Linked DNA regions of Rattus norvegicus. Each later gene encodes a partner of the first gene's protein in a complex. Links are inferred from orthologs where the notes say so. Each region holds a gene or a part of one and is shown on either strand. Other genes may lie near its edges.

Evidence for each region.
Region 2: Gtf2f1 (region 1) and Polr2k share a complex: the UniProt entries of both Homo sapiens proteins name them as parts of the TBP-based Pol II pre-initiation complex. The link is inferred for Rattus norvegicus from reciprocal best matches to the Homo sapiens genes GTF2F1 and POLR2K.

The regions. Positions count from the first base shown.
Region 1 is NC_086027.1:1,934,985-1,946,255, reverse strand, and holds the start of Gtf2f1 (general transcription factor IIF subunit 1), read left to right. Parts: upstream 1-6,058; 5' UTR 6,059-6,184; coding exon 6,185-6,196; intron 6,197-6,282; coding exon 6,283-6,329; intron 6,330-7,585; coding exon 7,586-7,658; intron 7,659-9,220; coding exon 9,221-9,414; intron 9,415-9,907; coding exon 9,908-10,078; intron 10,079-11,271. UniProt on the Homo sapiens protein: TFIIF is a general transcription initiation factor that binds to RNA polymerase II and helps to recruit it to the initiation complex in collaboration with TFIIB. It promotes transcription elongation.
Region 2 is NC_086025.1:69,235,570-69,247,111, forward strand, and holds Polr2k (DNA-directed RNA polymerases I, II, and III subunit RPABC4), read left to right. Parts: upstream 1-5,663; 5' UTR 5,664-5,746; intron 5,747-6,450; 5' UTR 6,451-6,459; coding exon 6,460-6,520; intron 6,521-6,857; coding exon 6,858-6,950; intron 6,951-8,752; coding exon 8,753-8,775; 3' UTR 8,776-9,010; downstream 9,011-11,542. UniProt on the Homo sapiens protein: DNA-dependent RNA polymerase catalyzes the transcription of DNA into RNA using the four ribonucleoside triphosphates as substrates.

The DNA.
Region 1 (11,271 bases):
AACTACTGGGTCATCTTTCCAGCCACTTTCTCCCTCTTTTTTTCCATCTTATTTTGAGACAGGGAGTCTTCTCTGTGTAGCTCTAGCTGTCCTAGAACTTTGTGGACCAGGCTGGTCTTAAAGTCAGAGATCCACCTGCCTCTGCCTCCTGAATCCAGGGAATTAAAGGTGGATTGCTGCTGTCCAGCCCTTTTTCTATGAAGATGCTTGCTCTGTACATCCCCCACCGAATGAAGAGCGCAGGCTCCATGCTGGCAGGCAGCTGTCTCCTCCTAACCACTACTTCCTTAATGGTCTACAGGTCCAGGCATCCTAAATAAGAGAATCCGCCCGATGCCCGTTCCGTAACTGCCCTCATTCTCCACACTTCGCCTGTAGATAACTCAGAGCACCTTATTGTCAAAGCGAGTTTGTGTGTGTTCAGTATGGGCCAATTTCTTCCCTACATATATTTACCTACATGTATTTACTCTGTCCATGTCACACACATGTTATGACATGTTGGTGCATGTGTGGAGGTAGAGAACACCCTGCAGGTGTCAGTTCTCCTTCTAGCATGTGGGTTCAGGACTCAAACTCATCTCCTCAGGCCTGGACATGAGCCCCATTACCTGTTGCAAACTCTAGCAGGCTCCACCCACTGCTTTTAGTCCGAGCTTCATTACATGTTTGGATATGGGACTGGTCAGGAGCCAGGGCTAGCTATCCATGTGCATCTCACAATCCAAGAAAGCAGTGTCCACAGACTGCATCCCTGAACCACACCCCCAGACCCTCACTTCAAAAACAAAATATCAGCTAAGCAGTGGTGGCACATGCCTTTAATGCCAGCACTAGAAAGCAAAGGCAGGTGGATTCCTGAGTTTGAGTTCTAGAGCCAGAGCTACACACACACAAAAAAAAAACCCTGTCTCAAAAAAAAATTCTGTGTGGGTATCTTATAGTGCTGCCATGTACCCACATACAGAGTTCACAGTTAGGGCTGCTGCAAGATTTGGTGATAGAGTACTTGTTCTTGGAGAGGACCTACATCTGAGTCCCAGCATACACATAATGGCTCACAACTATCCTAAGTCCAGTTTCAGGGTTCCGATGCCATGTTCATACCTACACCTTAAAGGGCACAAGGCATGTCTGTATAGACATACATATATACAGGCAAGATGCTCACATGCATAAATTGAAATATCAAAAAAGCAAGGAACTGGGGTTGCAGAGGTCTCAGTGGTTAACTCAGTCCTGAGTTCAATTCTTAGCAACCACATGGTGGCTCACAAACATCTGTAATGGGATCCATTGCCCTCTGGTGTGTCTGAAAATAGCAACAGTGTACTCACATGCATTAAATAAATAAATAAATAAATAAATAAATAAATAAATAAATAACTTTAAAAAAGAAAAGAACAAACAAACAAAAAGCAAGGAATTAACTGTTATCTGTCCAGACTTCTGTGGTGATGCGTGCCTGTGTTCTTAGCATTCAGGAGTATTGCAGGGACTTCCAGGTCAGCCTGGCTACATAGAGAGACACTGTCTCCAGAAACAGCACAAAACACAGAGAAGCCAGCCAGCCAGTGCTGTCTCACTTCTATTGTCCCAGCATCAGATGGAGGCTAGCCTGGGCTACATGAAACATTCTGGGACTGAGGCTACTACTCCATCCTGACTCCCAGCCCACACTTCCTTTTGGGTTACACAGTTTCACATTTTAAGAAATTGTGACTAATATTTAAACAAGGCGGGAGGGGGGTGTCAGCTTCTGCAGCACAGCTCTCCCATAAACCCTCCTGGCTTGGTAACGTGGGTCCTGCACATCCCCATGGCAACAGCAGTGTGAATGCTTCCTAAGCCCATTGGCAACACTCTCCACGGATAAATTCACCCTCTGGAATCTTCCATAGGTTTGCACCATCAGCAACCCAATTTCTTCCTGCATGTGTTTGGGAGTATGGCAGCCAGAGGTCAGCCAGCACGAGGGCCTTGTTCAGTTTGTATTGTTTGAGACAGGAATTCTTTTTATGGAATTCCCAGCTGAACTCCAAATGTAGCTTAGGCTGGCCCAGAAATCACAATCCTCCTGCCTCACAGGATCCCAGTGCTGGGGTGACCAGCATATACCTCCAAGTCGCATGTGCAGGCTGGGCAGAGCACGTTGGGTAGAGGGCTCACCCAGCATGCCTGAAGCCCTGACTTCCATCCTCAGCATATAAACTAGGTGTGGTGGCACAACCTTACCATCTCAGCACCCCAGAGAGAGGCAGGAAGAATAAGAGTTCAAGGTCAGCCTCTCTTCTGTTAAGGGATTTGAGACCAGCCTAGGATATATGAAATCTGAAGGAAGCGGGAAATGGGGGTGGGGATCAAGAGAGGAAGGAGGAGAGGAAGGAAGGCTCTATCTCCCAGCCACAGGTCCTCTTATATCCATCCACTAGGGTCTTATGGAGAGTGGAGAGAGGTTGGTCTGGAACCTCCACTCAGGTAGCACACCCCCCCGAATGGCTCTTGCCTCTGGGGGGGATCATGGTCACTCACAATCCGCTCAAACTCTTTGGCCTGTTCCAGCTCTCTGGGGAAGCCATCGACGAGAAAGCCGCGGCTCTTTGGATAAGACAACAAGTTGTCACTGACCATGTCCAGAATGAGACCCTGGGAAGGAAAGGGCATGGACTCAGAATCTGCCCCTCCAAAGAGGCCAAGGGCTATGAAGGTCATTCAGTTTGGCCCTCCTGTAGGACAATCGCTGACTCCCTCTCTCCTTACATGCTTTTAAAAATAATTTGGGGGCTGGAGAGATGGCACAGAGGTTAAGAGCACTGACTGCTCTTCTAAAGGTCCTGAGTTCAACTCCCAGTAACCACAACCATCTGTGATGCACACAATTCCCTCTTCTGGTGTGTCTAAAGGCAGCTACACTGTACTCACATACATGTAAATATAGAATAAATGTATCTAAAATAATAATTTGAAGTTACTTCTGATTGTATGTCTGTCTGTGTGTAGATATGTTCAGGTGCAAGCAGGTGCCCCAGAGGCCAAAGAAGTAGGATCCCCTGGAGCTGGATCTACAGGCCATTGTGAGCCACCTGGGAACTGAACTCGTGTCTACAGAGCACTTAGTCTCGGGTAACAGCTAGTCACCTCCCCAGCAACTAGGCATGGAGCCCGAGCTGGCCCTGAATTCAGAGACTCCCCTGTATCTGCCTCCTGAGTGCTTGGCTCTTTTCTCTTTCCTTTCCCCCAACCCCTTTACACCCATATACTGAGCCCAAGACCTCACAAATGCTAGGTAAACCCTTGTTCTCTGAACGAGACTCACAGACTCCTAATACTCTGTTTTAGAGACAGAGTCTCACATAGCCAGGCTCATCCTTAAACTCATATATCCTCTTGCCTCCGCCTCCCCAGTGTTGGGATGAAAGGTGTGCTTTCAAGTCTAGTGACCTGGAACTGAACTTACTGCTTCCAGCGTCCTGGGACACAGGCTTGCCCCACTCTGCCCATCAGATAGCTTACATTACCTGACACGCCATCAGTCTAATGCTAGGTAAATGGCTATACTTTGCTGTGTAGGGGAGGAAGCGTATCCCTGCTCAGCAATGTGCTTCCTGGGTATTTTTGGTAGAGTCCGTTGGATATGCGGGTGTGCAGTTTATGGGTACAGAAGCTGATTTGTTTAAGTAATTTATGTACTTAGGGTCTATGTAACCCAGGCTGACCTTAAATTCCCCATCTTCCTGCCTCAGCCTCCCGGATTTGGGGACAACAGGTGTTTGCCACTTCACGTGACTTTCTTCTTCCCTCCCTCCTTTGTCACCCCTCCCCCATGACATAGTCCAGGCTAGAATCTTTTGTGTGTGTGTGTGTGTGTGTGTGTGTGTGTGTGTGTGTGTGTGTGTGTGTGTGTGGTGGATGGGTAGACTCTTATAAGTTTATTAGATCTAAAAAACAGTTATTAGATCTCTATATTATTTATCTAGCTGGGGAAGGGTGGTGCATGTGCCATTCACAGGAGTCAATTCAGGCTGTGAGGCTTGGCTGCCATCTTTGGCCCCTGGCACGGGCTGAACTGTATATGTAATAAAGGATGCCTTAGAACTCCTCATCCTCCTGACTTCGCCTCCCGAGGACTGGTTGCCCAGCATGTACCCAGTTTCTGCATGGCTGGGGATGGGACCCAGGATTTTTGAGCATGCTAGGCCAGTGGCTTTTTTTTTTTTTTTTTTGTTTGCTTGTTTTATTTGTGTGAGTGCTTGTATGTATGTCTGTACACATGTGTGAGTGTATGCAGAGCCCTCAGAAGCCAGAAACCCTGGAAATAGAGTTGACGGATAGTTGTGAACTGTTATTTGGGTGCTGGGAATCAAACCCAGGTTGGGGAGGAGCAGCCAGTGTCCTTAACCCTTATATCGTCATAGCATTGTCAGATAAGAACAGTGTTAATGCAGCAAGGCAGTGAGTGGCTGGGCCAGAACACCCTGTCCGGCCATGCCCCTGTCTCCTGTGAACGCTCACCGTGGGTACCAGGAGTCCCTGCTGCATGATGTCCCGGATCTGCCGGCCCCTCTGGGTGCTTCTCTGAGCCTCCTCCCGCAGCAGCTGGCCCAGCTCCACGTGGTAGAAGCCGTATTTCATAGCCATGTTTCTGCACTGGGTCCCTTTCCCGCAGCCAGGCCCCCCCACCACAAAGATGATCAGAGGATACCTCAGGATGTCTATGGTGTTCAGGGAAGAAAGTGGGTACTAGTACGAGTCTATAAGAGATCCTGGCCTCACACTGAAGGCTCCCTCTGTTGAGCAGGCCACCGGCCTTTTGCACAGACCTCCATGAAGTGCCTTACTGACTCCATCAACCCATTTTACAGATAATGAAAGAGGAAGGCCCTCAAACCCACCCAATAGCACCCTGCTCCACCCACCATGCGGTCCTTTCTATCCTGCCTGCTTGTGCCTCTAGTCACACAACCCTTTCCTCTCCTTCACAGTCATGGTTCTTTGTTCTTTGTCCTTTTTGACTCCCTTTAGTCTTCCTAACCAGCCTTTGTAACTCACGGTGCGCTCCCCGAAAGTGAAGAAATGAATGTCTCCGCTACTAGATACATCAGTGGAGTCAGTTGTTTATGGTTCTGTAAAGACTAACATGGAATCACCATATCTCATCCTTCTCAGGTTCAATGTCTGTACCACCCTTGACCCTCTGAGGGTCCCAACTCCTATGAGTCCCACAGGCTCCCTTTTTCTGATTCCTCCCCCGAGAATTGTACTTTCCATCTCTGACACTGGCTCCTCTACTCAAGTTATATTCCAAAGGCATCAACCAATGGTGGGGTGGGAGCATGTGCAGATGCGTTCCTGTCGTGCAAGGGTTGGTGTGCACAATCAGGTGGTGGGATACCTGCCCACCGCCCCCTTCCGTTGCCTCATGTAGACCAACTACCCCATGTTGTTACCCTTCTCCTGGGGCCGTAAAGCTCTGCCCAGCTGGGGCAGCGTGGACTCGCACAGACCCATCCCGCCCGCAATGCTGGGGTACGCCGGGGCCGGGTCTCTGCCCTGCAACGACTCCTCGGCTCCGCTTTACGTCACAAGGGACTCATTTTGCAAGATCCTCGGGATCCCCTGACTCCAGGACACAAAAGAAAACGGAATCTCAGACCCACCCCAGAAGAGCCCCGGAGGCCATTCCACAGAGCGAGCCTCGGTTGCCATGGCAACGCGGCCTCCGCTCCCGCTTCTTGGACATTTACGCTTGCGCGAGAGTACCGAGGACGCGAACACCAGAAGACTCCATTCCCACCCTACCCAAGATGCTCCACGTTGCCCGCGTCTTGACGTCACGAAGTGACGTATTCTCACGTGATTATAAGTTATCCGTGATGTAAAAGAGAACACTGGGAGAAAGCAGCTTTATTTCGCTCAGAAGCTGGAGAAGACACAGACTAGGTACAGTGGTAGCTCTCGTCTCCGTGTGGCAGTTCTACTTCCGGGTCAGGCTGTGGCGCATGCGCAGCGTTCTAAGTCTCTTTTTTTTCTCGTCTTCCAGCATTCTAGGAGACTTAAGGGTTTGGAAATCCAAAGCACAGGATCACACTAACGTGACAACCAGGAAAGGTGCTTTCCCTGGGTCCGAGGGACACAACCAAGACCATCCAGGTCTGGCCGACCCGGAGCAGCTTGAGCAACGGCCATGGCGGCTCTAGTAAGTATGAATGAGGTGGGGATGGAGGTGTCGCAAAACAGACCCCGCGCCCTCTTCTCGCCTTACAGACTCCTGTTCTTTTGCAGGGCTCCAGCAGCCAGAATGTCACTGAGTACGTCGTCCGAGTCCCCAAGTAAGTCCCCGTCCATCCACACTTTAGAACCTCGGCCCTGTGTTCCCCTGCCACGCTGGCCCTACTGCCGCGTCCAAGACATAGTAATATGTCTTGGTAAATCTTGGTAGTTAATGTTAGGGTCTGTGACTCTGTCCTGTTTCAGACTGGTCAGGCCAGACATGGTGGCTGCCTTTAATCTCAGCACTTGGGAGGCAGAAACAAGAGAATTTCTTTGAGTTCGCGGTCAGCCAGGTCTATAGAGGGAGTTCCAGACCAGCCAGGGCTACATATCGTGAGAGCCTGTCTCAAAATAAAACAAAATTCCAAACTGGTCACAAGTAGTACACATCCTGCTTTCTGTGCCAAGTGCCATGGCCCTCAACTTCTAATTTTATCTTAGGTGGGCCTGTGGTAGGCAAGCACTGTACCACTGATCTACACCTAGTCCCCTTTTATTTTTTTGTTTATTTTGAAGACACAGTTTTACTGTGTAGTCTAGCCGGTTTGACCAGGCTGACTTTGAAACCCACTAAGACCCATTCACCTCCAGCCCTTGCCTGCCTGCCTTCCTCTCTACATAAAGGTTCTCTACACCTTTGGTTCATTTTTTTCTTTTTTCTTTTTTTTTTTTAAAGATTTATTTATTTATTATATATAAGTACACTGTAGCTGTTCAGACACACCAGAAGAGGGCATCAGATCTCATTACAGATGGTTGTGAGCTACCATGTGGTTGCTGGGATTTGAACTCAGGACCTCTGGAAGAGCAGTCAGTGCTCTTAACCACTGAGCCATCTCTCCAGCCCCCGGTTCATTTTTTTCTTAAGGATTTAGTGTTATCTCTGTGTATGCCTGTGTGTATATAGATGTGTGTTGTGAGAGTGCCTGGTGCCTATGGATCTTTATATGGGGTTGGATGAGATGGAGTCTTTAAAAAAAACAAAACAAAAACAAAATTAAAAAATCCCTGAGAAACTGGAGCAGTGGTTTTCAACCTGTGGGTCGCCTAAGTCCATCAGAAAACACAGATATTTACATTATGAATCATGATAGTAGCAAGCTTACAGTTATGAACTAACAAAAATAATTTTATGGTTGGGTCACTACAGCATGAGGGGGTCATAGGGGTATTAGGGGTCATAGCTTTAGGAAGGTTGAGGACCATTGTTCCCGAGTCTTTTTTGAGTTCCCAGAATTACCTACAACCAAGGGTGTAAATCGTAGATTTGTTGAATGGCTAATCGATGGATTGAATAGTTTCTTGCCCATTCCAGGAACACAGCCAAAAGATACAACATAATGGCTTTTAATGCAGCTGATAAAGTCAACTTTGCTACCTGGAACCAGGTAAGTGTATGCCTCTGGGTGTCTGGGGCAGAGACCTAACCCTGGGCTGGTGACTTTACTGAAACAGTAGTGCCCACACCTGTAGCCCCAGCAGACCTGTGATTCCAGCTATTTGGTGGCTGAGGTAGAAAGACTGAGTGTTTTAGACCAGCCTATACTAAATAAATCCTATCTCAAAGAGAAGAAGCTAGCCTGAGGGTACGGTTCAATTGATGGAGCACTCATCTGGCATATAGGAGGCCAGGGGGACCACCAGCGCCATGTATAATGGGCATGTTGGCTGGCACACGCCTGTTATCCAGCATGGGAAAGGGGATAGGATCTCAAATTGAAGACCATCCTTGGCTACATAGTGAGCTTGAGTGAAGCCCCGGATATATATATATATATATAGACCATGTCTATATGTATACTATAAAGTAAAGTAACGGGTAACAAGATGACAAGCAGGCCATGTCATGTACAAAAACAAATGCATTTTATAAGTTTGGAGTGTTTGTTTTTAAGATAAAGCCAGCAGGCCATAGTGACACATACCTTTAATGCCAGTTCTTGGCAGCAGAGTCAGTGGATCTCTGACTTTGAGGCCAGCCTGGTCTGCACAGTGGGCTTCAGAGCAGACTGCCTATACAGTGAGACCCTGTCTCGAAAGGATAAAACCATACCACAAGATGGGTACAGCCAGGGATACTAGCATCCCAGCACCAGGGAGGTGGAAGCAGGAGGATCATAAGTTTGAACAGCCTGAGCTACATAACAGGATTCTCTAGATAATACTAAGAGGAAAAAAGTGTTAAAGGCCAAAGTTTTAAACTACCCAGTATTCTGGGTGTCATGTTAAAATGTTACTATTTCCATATTGTCTGGGTTGCTCCTGAGCCTTCCTCGGGTGGTCTCCGTGATCTCATGGACCAGTCTGTTTTACTGTTGTAAGTCCCACATTCCTCATGACCAGAGTCGTGTGTGTGTGCATATGTGCATGTGGGCATGCTGTGCATGTCAAGGCTAGAGTGGACATCAGCTGTCTTCCATAGTCACTCTACACCTTATTATTAAAATGACATCTGTTGGGCCACAGGTGTGTGAGGGATGCAGAGTTGAGATCAGAGAAGAGTTTGCAGGAGTCGGTTCTCACTTTATGCTGTGTGGGTCCTAGGGCTTGAACTCAAGCCTCAGTCCTTTTGCAGGCTATACTTTATGCAGACTATATAGCAAGTACTATCTTTCCCAGCCTTTTTACATACAGTTTTGAGTCAGGGTATCTAACTGGACCTGGGGCTTGCTGACCTGTGAGTCCCAGGGACCCTGCTGTCTACACCGTTCTCCTGGGGTCGCAGATGCACACTTCCATACCCAGCTTTGTCTGTGGTACTGGGGGTCTGGACTCCCGATCCTTATGCTTGCAAGGCAGCTACGTTATCCACTGAGGCGTCTCCACCGCCCTCTCCCTGGGCAGAGCAGGTGCTCATATCCCTGCCCTCATGCCGCATGCGGGTGTGCTGGGGCACGTGAGGCCTGGCACAGCGCGACAGGAGAGTATCCCTGCTCCTGCTTCCCTCCAGGCACGGCTGGAGCGAGATCTGAGCAACAAGAAGATCTACCAGGAAGAGGAGATGCCAGAGTCTGGTGCAGGAAGTGAATTCAACCGCAAGCTCAGGGAGGAGGCTCGCCGGAAGAAGTATGGCATCGTCCTGAAGGAGTTCCGGCCTGAGGACCAGCCCTGGCTACTCCGTGTCAATGGCAAATCGGGGAGGAAGTGAGTGGTGCTGATGGTGGGGAGTTCCAGCTTGTGTCCCTCACACACGCATGCTTAGGAGACATTGTCCTCAAGTCTGTTCCCAACAGGATGGGGGCCCAGGACCACCTCTCTTGTCAAAGTTTAATCTTAAACTGGAGACTGTTGGCCTGGCTCAATAGCCTGACTGTGACCTGGAGAGCACCTTGACACTTGGGATGGTGGAGCCTGAGAAAGCCAGTGACCAGTACTCTATGCATAGTTACTCAGTGGACTGATAGCTGGAGCCTGCATGCTGTAGGGCCCCACAGTAGCCATGGTGGGTTATAGGCTGGGAGCAGCTGTGAGGATGGTGGCCACAAGGTGGCAGAGTGGTACTTGGTTAAGGAGGTGGTGGCCCATGCCTTTCTGTCCTGTCATTCCTAGAAGAGCCCAGATGGGTACTGTAAGGGGGTGGATGGAGTGCAGGCAGGCCCTGTGGGTGAGGTCCTGACCTAACTGAGGCTCTCTGCAGGTTCAAGGGCATCAAGAAAGGCGGGGTAACAGAGAACACGGCCTACTACATCTTCACACAGTGTGCGGATGGCGCCTTCGAGGCCTTCCCTGTGCAGAACTGGTACAATTTCACACCGCTGGCCCGACACCGCACACTGACTGCTGAGGAAGCTGAGGAGGAATGGGAGAGGTGAGGCAGAAGTGGTGGTTATAATGTGTATGCCCTTGGAGCAAGCCTGCCTGGAGCAGGAAGCAGTGCTTCCTTTGGCAGGCCTGGGAGCTGAGTGAAGGCTAGTACCACAGATAGGCACAGCCTGGGGGTCAGGGAGGCGCCTCTTCATGGCAACCGCCTCAGTTCTAGCTTGGGAGGTAGAAACAAAGATGGGTACAGGGAAGCTGGGATAGAGAAACTCAGTGGACAGCATAAGATGTCGTGTACACCTGCTGAGGGTGGGCCCTGTGTGTCCAGAGAGGGCTGTTGGAATTGATGTGGTCCATGGGGTTGCTCTGTGCTTGCCTACAAGCCTGGAATAGTGCCGGTTCTCAAGGGCTGGGATTGAAATGTCAAAAGCAGCTCCTCCTACTATGCTTAGCCTTATTCTGGGCACACATAGGTTCATGGACAGCTCCTTGTCCAATGAGACCCTACTCTATGTAATCCTTGAGATAAATTAATGATGGGGGTATGGGTGGGGGTAGTGTGAGTGCACACCTCAGCACACAGATGGCAGAAGCAAGAGAATCAGGAGTTCAAGTCCATCTTCTGCTGTATTAAATTTGAGGCCAGCTGTGGTTATACAAGATTTGGTTTCAAAACACCCAGAACTCCAGACACAGTGGTACACGCCTTCTATCTCAGCAAAACACCCAGAGCTCCAGACACAGTGGTGCACACCTTTTATCTCAGCACTTTGGTACACAGGCAACAGGCTCTCTGAGTTTGAGGACTGGTGTATATTCCAAGTTCCATGCCAGCTAAGATCACACAATAAGATCCTGTTTTAAAGGAATTTTAATTGGGCCAAGCCTGATGGTGTACACCTTTAACCCAGCACTCTAGGATGCATTGGCATGAGTATCTCTGTGAGTTCAAGGCCAGCCTGGTCAACATAGTGAGTTCCAAGATAGCCAGGACAGTAGAGATCCTATCTCACAAAACCACAAAACAAAACAAAACAACCCTCCCCAACCCTCCCCTCCCAGGAAAAAGCATAAAAAATTATTTAGCTAACCAATATGATGGCTGGATATGCCTGGAACAGACCCTGAGTCTGGAGGAGCTAAGATGTGGGGTTCCCAGAGGGCTCAAGTGCACGTGGGCCTGAGGCCATTTCAGGGCTCACCCTATATTATTTCAAGATCCGGGGGTCTGAAATGGCCCAT
Region 2 (11,542 bases), on another chromosome or scaffold:
AACGACTTGACTTTGTTGCCAGCCATGCATAGTGCCCTGGGTTTTTTTTTTTTTCTCTTCTGATACTAAAGGAAAGAATTACCATTCTCCTTTAGTAAAATTTATCTGAATCAATCAAAAGCTCATTTATTGCTCAAAAAATAATCTTAACCAGGAGTGGTGGTGCACACCTCTAATCCAGGTGTTTGGGAGGCAGAGGCAGCACAGACAGATCTCTTGTGAATTTGAGGCCAGCCTACTCTACACAGTGAGTTCCAAGTCAGCCATAGCTATATATTGAATTTATATAGATGTAGATGATGATGGTGGTGGTGGTGGTGATGGTGATGCACCTGGAAACCAGGGTATTAGCAGAAAGGGCTGGTGAAAAACGCTCTTAAGAAGAGACAGATTAGTCTCAAGGGTTGTGGATGAATGTTAAGACTGAGTTTTATCCTGTGGGCAATGCAGAACATCTTAGAGAAAGGGATGTATAGAATGGAGGGGAGAATGGAAAGAAGTGAGGGTGGTGGCATGGAGACGAGGAGAGACAGAGACAGAGACAGAGACAGAGACAGAGACAGAGACAGAAACAGACAGAGGCACTGACTGAGACTGTGTTACTGGAAGATAGCTAGGGGGTAGGGAAAACCTGGACCAACATGCTCAGTCAGCAGGATCAACAGCAGGGGGCAGGGGAGGTAACAACTGTCTTTGGAGGAAATATGACACTCCTGTAAATTTAAGAAGGTACCTGTATAACCTAAGGAGCCAATGAACTCCACTAACATCTGTAGCACTTGTCTGACACTCCCACATACAATAAATGGTACTCTCTGGTCTTCTCAAATAAGGCTTTGTTAAAGTCATTTCATCCCACCTTGGTCAGCAGCGGCAATCCTCCCCTCTGCAGCATCTCCCCTGTGTATGTTCTTCTAAAATTCACTGTTATCTAGATAGGTACAGAGCTCTGCTAGTGGAATGTCTAGCTTGTATGAAGTGCTGGGATTAACATAAGCCCGGCATGGGGGCAACACTGTTGTAATCTCAGCATCTGGGAAGTGGAGGCAAAGGGACCAGAAGTTCAAGGACATCAGCTAGATATATTTGAGGTCAGTTTAGGATGAGTGAGAAGCCCACGCAAACAAATATGATGATACACTTACCTGGCTTATACACTAACCTGGCGGAGGAGTTGCTCTAATCATGAAGATGGTTTTCCCAGGAAGAGCCTCATCCTCTCCATTCCAGATGTGCTGGCACCAGCAATTTCCCCAAATGTGGGAAACTAAACTGCGTAATTCACGGTAGCAGAGGACTGCATCACAGTCTCCTTTGAAATATAAGGAATCCAATCTACTTAGTTTAGTTTCCCCACACCAGTGTAAACAGGGAATAGCATTTTGCATATGGCTACAAATAATCCATAACCACTGTATTGCCATGCTCTCAGATTAAAAATACTTGTTTTTTAGGAGACTTTTTTTATATGAGGGGGAAGCATACCAGAAGCAGGCATGATAGCTCTTTTAATCCCCAGAATGTGGAAGGTGGAGGCAGAAGGATGGGAAACACAAGGCCATTTTTGGCTACATAGCAAGGTTTTTTTTTTTAAGATTTATTTATTTATTTTATGTACAGCATTCTGTCTGCATATGTGACAGAAGAGGCACCAGATCTCATTACAGATGGTTGTGAGCCACCATGTGGTTGCTGGGAATTGAACTCATGACCTCTGGAAGAGCAGTCAGTGCTCTTAACCACTGAGCCATCTCTCCAGCCCTACATAGCAAGTTTTGAGGCAGTGCCTTTACTCACTGATCTATCTTGCTGGCCCTGTCTTTTGCTTATCTGCCACAGTCTTTTGCTTCTTTGCTTTTCTTGGATCAAGCTCCCATGATAGAATTCTAAAACTTATTTAATTCCCATAAGGTCTCATTTTCTTTTGGGGCCTGTTCAGTAAAACATAATGACTCTTCCTTGATGACCTTGGCATTCAGGCTATTCGGAAGTTGTTATCACAAGCATAAAAGAAACCCAGAAGAGTCAAGAAAAAATTGCAACATGTTTCATCATAACCATCATATAAAGAGTTAAAGGCTTCAGGATGGCATCAGCCTGCACTGGGACAGTGATACAGTGATTTCTGTCATGGGGTGGATGCTCACGGAGTTAGCTTCATGTTGTCTTTGATAATGGATTATGTCACATGGAGATTCTCCAGTTACTGCTAATAGAAAAGGGGTGGGCACTAGCACCAGTATGAACCCCTATGGAAATACTGGATCTTTTACTGTGACTAGGCATTACACCACTATCCTGTAGAATCCCAGGGTACATTTAAGATCTACATGTGATGATCCATTCTAACCTTCATACATGTTTTGTGATAGAAAATTTGGTACTTGAACAGATTTAGAATCTAGTAAAAAGTTATGATTTTAAAAGTTACTCGTTATTTCAGCACTGGGAGACAGGAAGATCTATGAATTCCAGGCTAGCCTAGTCTACATAGCAAGACTCTGAGAAAAAAAATACAAGACCTGGAAAGAAAGCTCAGCATTTAAGAGCACTTGCTGTTCTTGCAGAGAACCAAGTTCAGGGCCCAACTTCTAGGTGGGGCAGTGTATAGTAGTCTGTAGTTCCAGTCAAGGGGATCCAACTGTCTCTTCTGATCCCTACTGATACTCACACATAACTCAAAATAATAAAATCTTAAGATCCAAGATGTCTTGCAGTATGAAATCCTTTTACGGTAGCCATGGGTTTAACCTAGTATTTATTGTACAGATGTACAGATGTCTAGTATACAAACTTGTTTACCTCTTCCCCTTTGTTGAGAAGAAGTACTTTGTAACATGGCTGCAGGTCAAAATATGCTGTTAATCTGCATGTAGAGGAAGAAGCTGGAAAGTACTGTTGAAATCAGAAATGATTTCCTTTTGAAAGAAATTACCACTGTGAGTCCATGCATGCTAAGCAAGCATTTTACTACTGAGTTAAGCCAACAATTCTTTAAAAAAAAGAATGGCATCAAGGAAGACTGGAATCTCTCAAGCTGGTCTGTGAATATTACAGACTTGAACTAGACATGAAACGCAAAGCCCAAAGTTGTTCTTTTGGTGAATGGAGAATGGAGAGAGTACAGTTTACTAAGATACCAGGATGCACACTGGGAGAGAAGCCATCACTTTAATTAACGGTTTTCACTTGAATTCCTGAATCCCTTCACGTTTTCCACTCTATTTTTATTTTTTTTAACATTTTTTTTTATTAACTTGAGTATTTCTTATATACATTTCGAGTGTTATTCCCTTTCCCGGTTTCCGGGCAAACATCCCCCTCCCCCCTCCCCTTCCTTATGGGTGTTCCCCTCCCAACCCTCCCCCCATTGCCGCCCTCCCCCCATAGACTAGTTCACTGGGGGTTCAGTCTTAGCAGGACCCAGGGCTTCCCCTTCCACTGGTGCTCTTACTAGGATATTCATTGCTACCTATGGGGTCAGAGTCCAGGGTCAGTCCATGTATAGTCTCTAGGTAGTGGCTTAGTCCCTGGAAGCTCTGGTTGCTTGGCATTGTTGTACTTTTGGGGTCTCGAGCCCCTTCAAGCTCTTCCAGTTCTTTCTCTGATTCCTTCAATAGGGGACCTATTCTCAGTTCAGTGGTTTGCTGCTGGCATTCGCCTCTGTATTTGCTGTATTCTGGCTGTGTCTCTCAGGAGCGATCTACATCCGGCTCCTGTCGGTCTGCACTTCTTTGCTTCATCCATCTTGTCTAATTGGGTGGCTGTATATGTATGGGCCACATGTGGGGCAGGCTCTGAATGGGTGTTCCTTCAGTCTCTGTTTTAATCTTTGCCTCTCCCTTCCCTGCCAAGGGTATTCTTTTTCCTCATTTAAAGAAGGAGTGAAGCATTCACATTTTGATCATCCGTCTTGAGTTTCGTTTGTTCTAGGGATCTAGGGTAATTCAAGCATTTGGGCTAATAGCCACTTATCAATGAGTGCATACCATGTATGTCTTTCTGTGATTGGGTTAGCTCACTCAGGATGATATTTTCCAGTTCCAACCATTTGCCTACGAATTTCATAAACTCGTTGTTTTTGATAGCTGAGTAATATTCCATTGTGTAGATGTACCACATTTTCTGTATCCATTCCTCTGTTGAAGGGCATCTGGATTCTTTCCATTTTCTGGCTATTATAAATAAGGCTGCGATGAACATAGTGGAGCACGTGTCTCTTTTATATGTTGAGGCATCTTTTGGGTATATGCCCAAGAGAGGTATAGCTGGATCCTCAGGCAGTTCAATGTCCAATTTTCTGAGGAACCTCCAGACTGATTTCCAGAATGGTTTTACCAGTCTGCAATCCCACCAACAATGGAGGAGTGTTCCTCTTTCTCCACATCCTCGCCAGCATCTGCTGTCACCTGAGTTTTTGATCTTAGCCATTCTCACTGGTGTGAGGTGAAATCTCAGGGTTGTTTTGATTTGCATTTCCCTTATGACTAAAGATGTTGAACATTTCTTTAGGTGTTTCTCAACCATTCGGCATTCCTCAGCTGTGAATTCTTTGTTTAGCTCTGAACCCCATTTTTAAATAGGGTTATTTGTTTCCCTGCAGTCTAACTTCTTGAGTTCTTTGTATATTTTGGATATAAGGCCTCTATCTGTTGTAGGATTGGTAAAGATCTTTTCCCAATCTGTTGGTTGCCGTTTTGTCCTAACCACAGTGTCCTTTGCCTTACAGAAGCTTTGCAGTTTTATGAGATCCCATTTGTCGATTCTTGATCTTAGAGCATAAGCCATTGGTGTTTTGTTCAGGAAATTTTTTCCAGTGCCCATGTGTTCCAGATGCTTCCCTAGTTTTTCTTCTATTAGTTTGTCCACTCTATTTTTAAAATAAATGGTGTGAAATAATTGAGTGTAAACGTCCTGAACCCAACAGATTTTTACTGAGTTAAAAGTTTGATCTGTGAGAACACATACCACCTGTACTCTATTGAATTGATCAAACACAAGAGGGAGAATACTACGAGAAAAGCTAAAGCCACCAACTAGTGGAAGTAATTGATGGAGTTGTCCTTGTGAAAACCTTAGTTGTGAAAACCTTGGCTTCAAAAAGGAAGATGGGCAGGCGTTGTGATTTGCGCAATTAATTTCAGCATTGAGGCGGCGAAGGTAGAGAACTGCGCCGGTTTAAGAGCAAGCTCAGCCTGGGCTACATAGACTATCAAGCCTCGGGCTTCCCCTATCATTCCATTCCCCAACATAAAATAGAAGAGAGGTGACAAGAAACTAAGAAAACTGGAATTTGAAAACAACAAACAAACAAAAACCTGCATGGGTATTGAACAATTTGAAAACCGTGATATTGGGAAGTGAAGTGTTGGTAGGGTGGCCTGCTGGTGTTCGCCCAAGCAATGGCTGGGTTAAGATTCCAGCAGCACCTGTTTTGGCTTCCTGCTCTATCTGCCGTTACACAAGCACAGACTCTCGAACGCCGAGCTGTGGGAATGTTTTGCTACCCTGGAGAGAGGGGCAAATCAAAACAAAATCCTACAGGAATTAAGGAGAGAAACACTATAAACCAGTCCCCAACAAGCGCCCTAGTTCTTCGGTACTGCCAGGCAGAAAGGGACAGGGCTTTTGCGTCATAAGTCAGCGCCGGAAGTTGGCGAAGCAGCGCCGGTAGTGTCTCTTGCTTCTAAGAGCCGGAGAAAGCGTTTGCGTGCACAGAGGAGGGACGCTTTCCGGAGCTGCGGAGGTAAGGGATCGGCGGGTGATTTGGGAGGTAAATTGGAGGCAAAACTAGGAGAGACACCTGGCTTTAAAATATCCCTGGACGACCGAGAGCGGTAGCACACGCCTGCCATCTGAGCGCTTGGGAAGCAGAGGTAGGAGAATTCTGCCATCAACAAGCACCTTGACTTTCAATCTAAGGCTACAAAGTGAGTTCTCGGCTAACCTGAATTACAAAGTGAAGACTCTCAAAGCCTTCTTAAAGAACCAAATGCGAAAATAAAGATCCCCGGTGGAGTTAATGTTGAGACAAGCTTTGACGGAGCTACTGCTCCCAGCTCAAATCGGAATTCCTTTGCGGAGTGATACTGGACAAACCAACATGTCCTTAGCCTCCGTTTCTTCGTGTGTAATACCCTCTAGGATCCTGAAGAGTAATAAACATTCATAATGTATTTACTATTGTTGAAAATGTGCTGTATCCTTCAGACCCAGCCCACATCACTGTTTAGGGGAAGTAGATAATTACTTTTTTTTTTTTTTTAATTTCCCCATCCGTAATATTGGGTATTGATTCTTGGGCTTCTGCACACTAGGCAAACATTCTACTGAGGTTTTCCTCTTTGGTCGGAAAATCAGAACCTCGTATAGCTTCTGAGAAAAAGATAAATCAAATGGGGCATGTTTTGTGCGAAGGCCCTGTTACTCAGTCTTTGGCTCTCATTTCAGGCACGAACAATGGACACCCAGAAAGATGTTCAACCACCAAAGCAGCAGCCAATGATATATATTTGTGGAGGTAAGATTAACATTTAAATAATGCTTTACTTAGGAACGCCCCCCCCTCCCATTAAAAAGAATCCTTCCATACATGAGTACAAATCTTTAAAATTATAACGTGGAGCACTTTAGCGATTGTTAATTTTAAAATCCCTCTACCTTATTAAGATTTCTTCCTTTTATCTGGAAAAGGTGTACTGCCTACAGCTCTTCTTTCTCCTTGGTCTGTTCAGTAATAAGAATGTACTTGGATGTTTTGGTGCCCTGGTTTCCTCCTGTTTTTAATATGTTGTTACTGTTTGCTTCCCTGGAGTGTTTCTCTTTCAGGCTTTGAATAAATGTGCTTTCTTTCCCAGAGTGTCACACCGAAAATGAAATAAAATCCAGGGATCCAATCAGATGCAGAGAATGTGGATACAGAATAATGTACAAGAAAAGGACTAAGAGATGTATCCTTTTAAGTATACTTTTTAAATGTGAAGAGGAAGTAACTAATACTTGGGTTGATAAAGACTAAGATCTGGGGCTGGAGAGATGGCTCAGTGGTTAAGAGCACTGACCACTCTTACAGAGGTCCTGAGTTCAAGTCCCAGCAACCACATGGTGGCTCAACCACCTAGTAATGGGATTTGATTCCTTCTGGTGTGTCTGAAGACAGTGACAGTGTACTCACATACATGAAATAAATAAATCTTTAAAAAAAAAAAGACTAAGATCTGATCAAAGTAGTAATAACTTTTGGATTATTTTTTAAGCAGAGTGCATGTGGACTTATTGAGAACTGAAAGAGTGGAGCCTCCACAGGAGGTATACCCAGATTAATTATTTTAATAGGATTTATTTTTCCCAAAACTTGTGGGGTAGAGACAGGCAGCTCCTTGTGAATTCCAGGCCAGTCTGGTCTACACTTAGGATTCCAGGCCAGCTAAAGCTACTTAGTGAGACCCAGTCTCAAAGGACCAACTAGGGGCCTGAGAGCTGGATCTGCAGGCAGGAGCATTGCTGCTTTTTCAGAGGGCCTTAGAACCAACATGATTGCTCACAATCACAGGTGGTCGGATAGGCCGACCTCTGACCTACCAGTGCGCGGGACCCAAATGGTACATACATGCATACAGGCAAAAGCACTTGTGCATAAAATAAACCTGAATAAAACAAATTTTAAAACCCAGTAAATACATTTTTAATTCATTTATTAAGGTTATCACTGGCCTTCCTAAACCTCTGTGGCCTTATACTGGCTAGTTTTGAAGGCCAACTTGACACAGGCTGGAGTTATCACAGAAAAGGAGCCTCAGTTGTGGAAATGCCTTCGGGAGACCCAGCTGTAAGGCATCTTCTCAACTAGTGATCAAGGAGGGAGGACCAAGCCCATTGTGGGTAGTGCCATCCCTGGGCTGGTGGTCCTGGGGTTCTATAAGAAAACCAGCTGAGCAAGCCACGGGAGGCAAGCCAGTAAGTAACATCCCTCCATGGCCTCTGCATCAGCTCCTGCTTCCTGACCTGCTCGAGTTCCAGTCCTGACTTCCTTTGGTGATGAAACAGCAATGTGACTGTGTAAGCTGGATAAACTCTTTCCTCCCCAACCTGCTTTGTGTCATGATGTTTGTGCAGGAACAGAAACCCTGACTAAGACAGGCCTCAAACTCAGAGATCCACCTATCCCCGCCCACCACCTCTACCCCCCAAATCCGGGATTAAAGACATGTACTCCCAAGGCCTGGCAGAGGTTTTTATATAAAGTAAATGTGATTAGCATTTTCATGTACCATTCATTATGGGCTTTCAGTAATATAAAAACTAGTTGATAAGTCTTTTTTACTTTTCAGGAAATCTTTGTTTTTAGTAATAGTCATTGTTGGTTATTAGTTTATGAACAATATAAAGTACGGAAGAAGAGATTAATAACAGTGGAAAATAGTGAGGCCTACAAATTGTTTCATGGTAACGGACACAAACTCTTAAAAGTCATCAATTGTTTCAGTGAGTTTTTTTAATTTGTGTTTATTTTTAATACTACTTATATTAATATATGTTACATTATTAATTTATATTATCTTGTATCCAAAAAAGTAAGCTACTGAACATGGCAGTAGTGTACTTTATTTTTTTAGATAATCTCTGATTATAGTGAACTTCATTCTTTTGTTCATTTTATATTCAATTGCAAGCTTGGTGCAGGGGGTAACTTGGAAGCCTTAGTCTTACACAATTTTAAGTACTGTTTAAAATCCTTAACTCAATTCAACAGTGGTGGTTTTTGATGCTCGATGAAACAGTGGAGTTGAGGAATGTCTTCATACATTTGCCTCGTTGATGTTTCTCTTTAATGTATAGCATTTAACTTAGCTTACTTAATGACTACAACTGTGTACCTATGATTTCATTTTAGAAATGCCAATTGTATTTTAATACTCTGTATAAAGGAAATTTCGGGTCAACATATGACTTAATTTATTGTCCTTGTAATTCCTCATACAGTGAAGATTAAAAGTGTTTCTCCAAACCACTTCAATCCAGTGTCTTGTTAAAAAGCCATCGAGCCAGGTGATTTGTGTTCAATGGGTCTGTCCTCTGACCTCCACGGGCACACGGAGACTCGGGCATGTGCTTGTGGTGCACCCACAGAGACAATTAACTAAAATAGAACATTGAAAATTCTGAATGCAGCTTTTTAGAACCCTTTTCTAAAGGTCTGAAGAGATATGTCCCTTGGGAACGACTGTACTTTGTCAACAACTCTAAACTCTCCAGAGTGCCACTGTACTTCCTGTCTGTAGAATTGTAAAAAGCCAAAAGGAAATAGACTTGGGCAGCGGGCAGAGGAGCGGCTCAACACTTGAGAGCACTTGCTGTACTTCCAAGGGCGTCTGGCTCTGTTTTCAAGCACCCGTTGTGTATATCCCAACAGACTGGAACTCCAGTCAGGGAACTGACACTGCCTTCTGGGTGTGTACACAGTCCACACAGACCCACACATAGACTATAAAAAGTGTTTCCTCAGTTATGTAGGTACACATATTCCTTAGACCACAGAGTTCTGGGAGTTGGGTGTAGTGGAGCCTGTCTAATCCCAGTGCTTGGGAGGTGGAGGCAGGAGGATTCAGAAGGTATTCAAGGGTTGTCTCTGGCTACATAACTAGTTTGAGGCTAAGAGTGATTGACTACTAGAGCAGCCGGTGCTCTCCCATGGTACTCTACTCTGTTGCTTTACTGTATGTCTAGGTTGGCTGTTTGAAGACGGGTCTTGACTCTGCAATCCTCCTGCTTCTGTCTCCTGTGTAACTGGGAGTGCAGGCCTACACTACCAGGCACAGCTTGAAATACTTTCTGCTGTTCAAGAGCTCTGTAAATTGAATAAACCTTGGCACCCCTTGTGACCCTTACTAGGCCTTTCTTTACATTATCTGTTTATTGGTTGCAATACTTTTTTTCTTTTATGAGGACAGATATATTTTCCTTGCCCACAGTCTTCAAGATTATTTTGACCTTTTGTCAATTCAGCATAGATTGTATAGCCAGAAGAAAACATGAAGTGTGACAAGAAAATTACGAACCCCATGGCATGACAGCCATTCTCGAGATTGTTACAGTTTTTCTCTGCAGGAAATCAGTGTTGTGGGAGTTCAGGTGGTTGCTTGAGACTCGATTTGCCGTCTGGAGTGAGCACCTGGAGCATACGATGCTGTTTCCACATAAGTGGGTCAGCCTAGGGACTATCCTAAAGCTTGGGTCTTCATCCACAAATACGCAGTTTAGCATTCTCCCAACGTCACGCCCTAAGTAAGTATATAAATGTAATAGCGTGATCATTGGGACTGGTAGCAGCAGTGGCCCCTGCCCGCAGACTCGTCGGGACGTAGACAAATTTATTTACAGGATTCCTGTTTTGGACTGAGTACATACCAGCTGCTTTGCGCATCTACTTTACCAACTCTGAAATGTATTTAAAACGGAAGTAAATTTCTCCACAAAACGACCTCTGCTGCTTTATTCATCTGAATTGCTTCTATCAATCATTTGTATCTCCAGCACCTTGTTCCTCACCAACCTCTCAAGACTGCATGAAAAGAGGAAAATGTGCCTTTCATTTATTCTTGTTCAAAGGACAGTAGATAAGTAAGCCTAGTGTGTAACAAAGAGTCTAACGTTTCAGTTACGTAAATTTCAGTTATGTAGAACTAGACACCACTTTCCTTAGGAGTACAGCAGTCTATTGATAGCGTTTTAAGCGGGGTGTTGGAGGCACACACCTTTAATCTGAGCACTCGGGAGGTAGAGGCAGGCGAATCTACAGAGGGAATTCCAGGACAGCCAAGGCTACGCGTAGAAACCCTGTCATGGAAAATCAAAGCAAAAAGAAACAGCGTTTCACTTGCTGTAAAACAGACTGAAACCCAAAGGAGGGGTTTCGCTCTGGTTCTGGTCTGGGTGATGGCCGGAGTGGGCTGCGGCCTGTGAGGCCAATCAGCGGTGGCAGTTGGAGTAGCCAATCGCCGGGCAGCGAGCTTAGTCTCCGCCCAGTCGTGTTAAGCACTGGCTCCGGTTCTCGGGTCGCTCTCCGCTGGTCATAGTCAGAGACCCCGGTGAGCACCCGCGGGGCGTGGAGGAAGCGGGCCGCACACGCACACTATCGATGAACGTCCTTTCTGGTCTGGAAAGGTGATTGGAACTTCCCACCGCTGTGGTTCGCACGGGAGTGGAAATTGTGGTGGAGTTGCCGCACTGCGGTTTCCTGGGACAGCCATCTGCTTCAGCCCGGGGAACCTCAGCCCAGGCCAGAGGAACGACTCCCGACGCCACGGCTTGCAGGTTGGCCCTAGAGCTAGCTCCCGGGCTCGTCCCAGACACTTTCCCTGGGTCTGGCGGTGCCTGGAAACCGTTGCCATAGCTGGGGCATGCCACTTCCGTTTCTGGCTGCAGAGGGCGCTGGCCGCCTGGGTAGGAGAAGCCAGGTTTTTCATGTTACTAGGGTTACCACGAAACGCTACAGCAATTTGCACAGGAGATATTACTAATACACTGATTAGGGAATATGGGA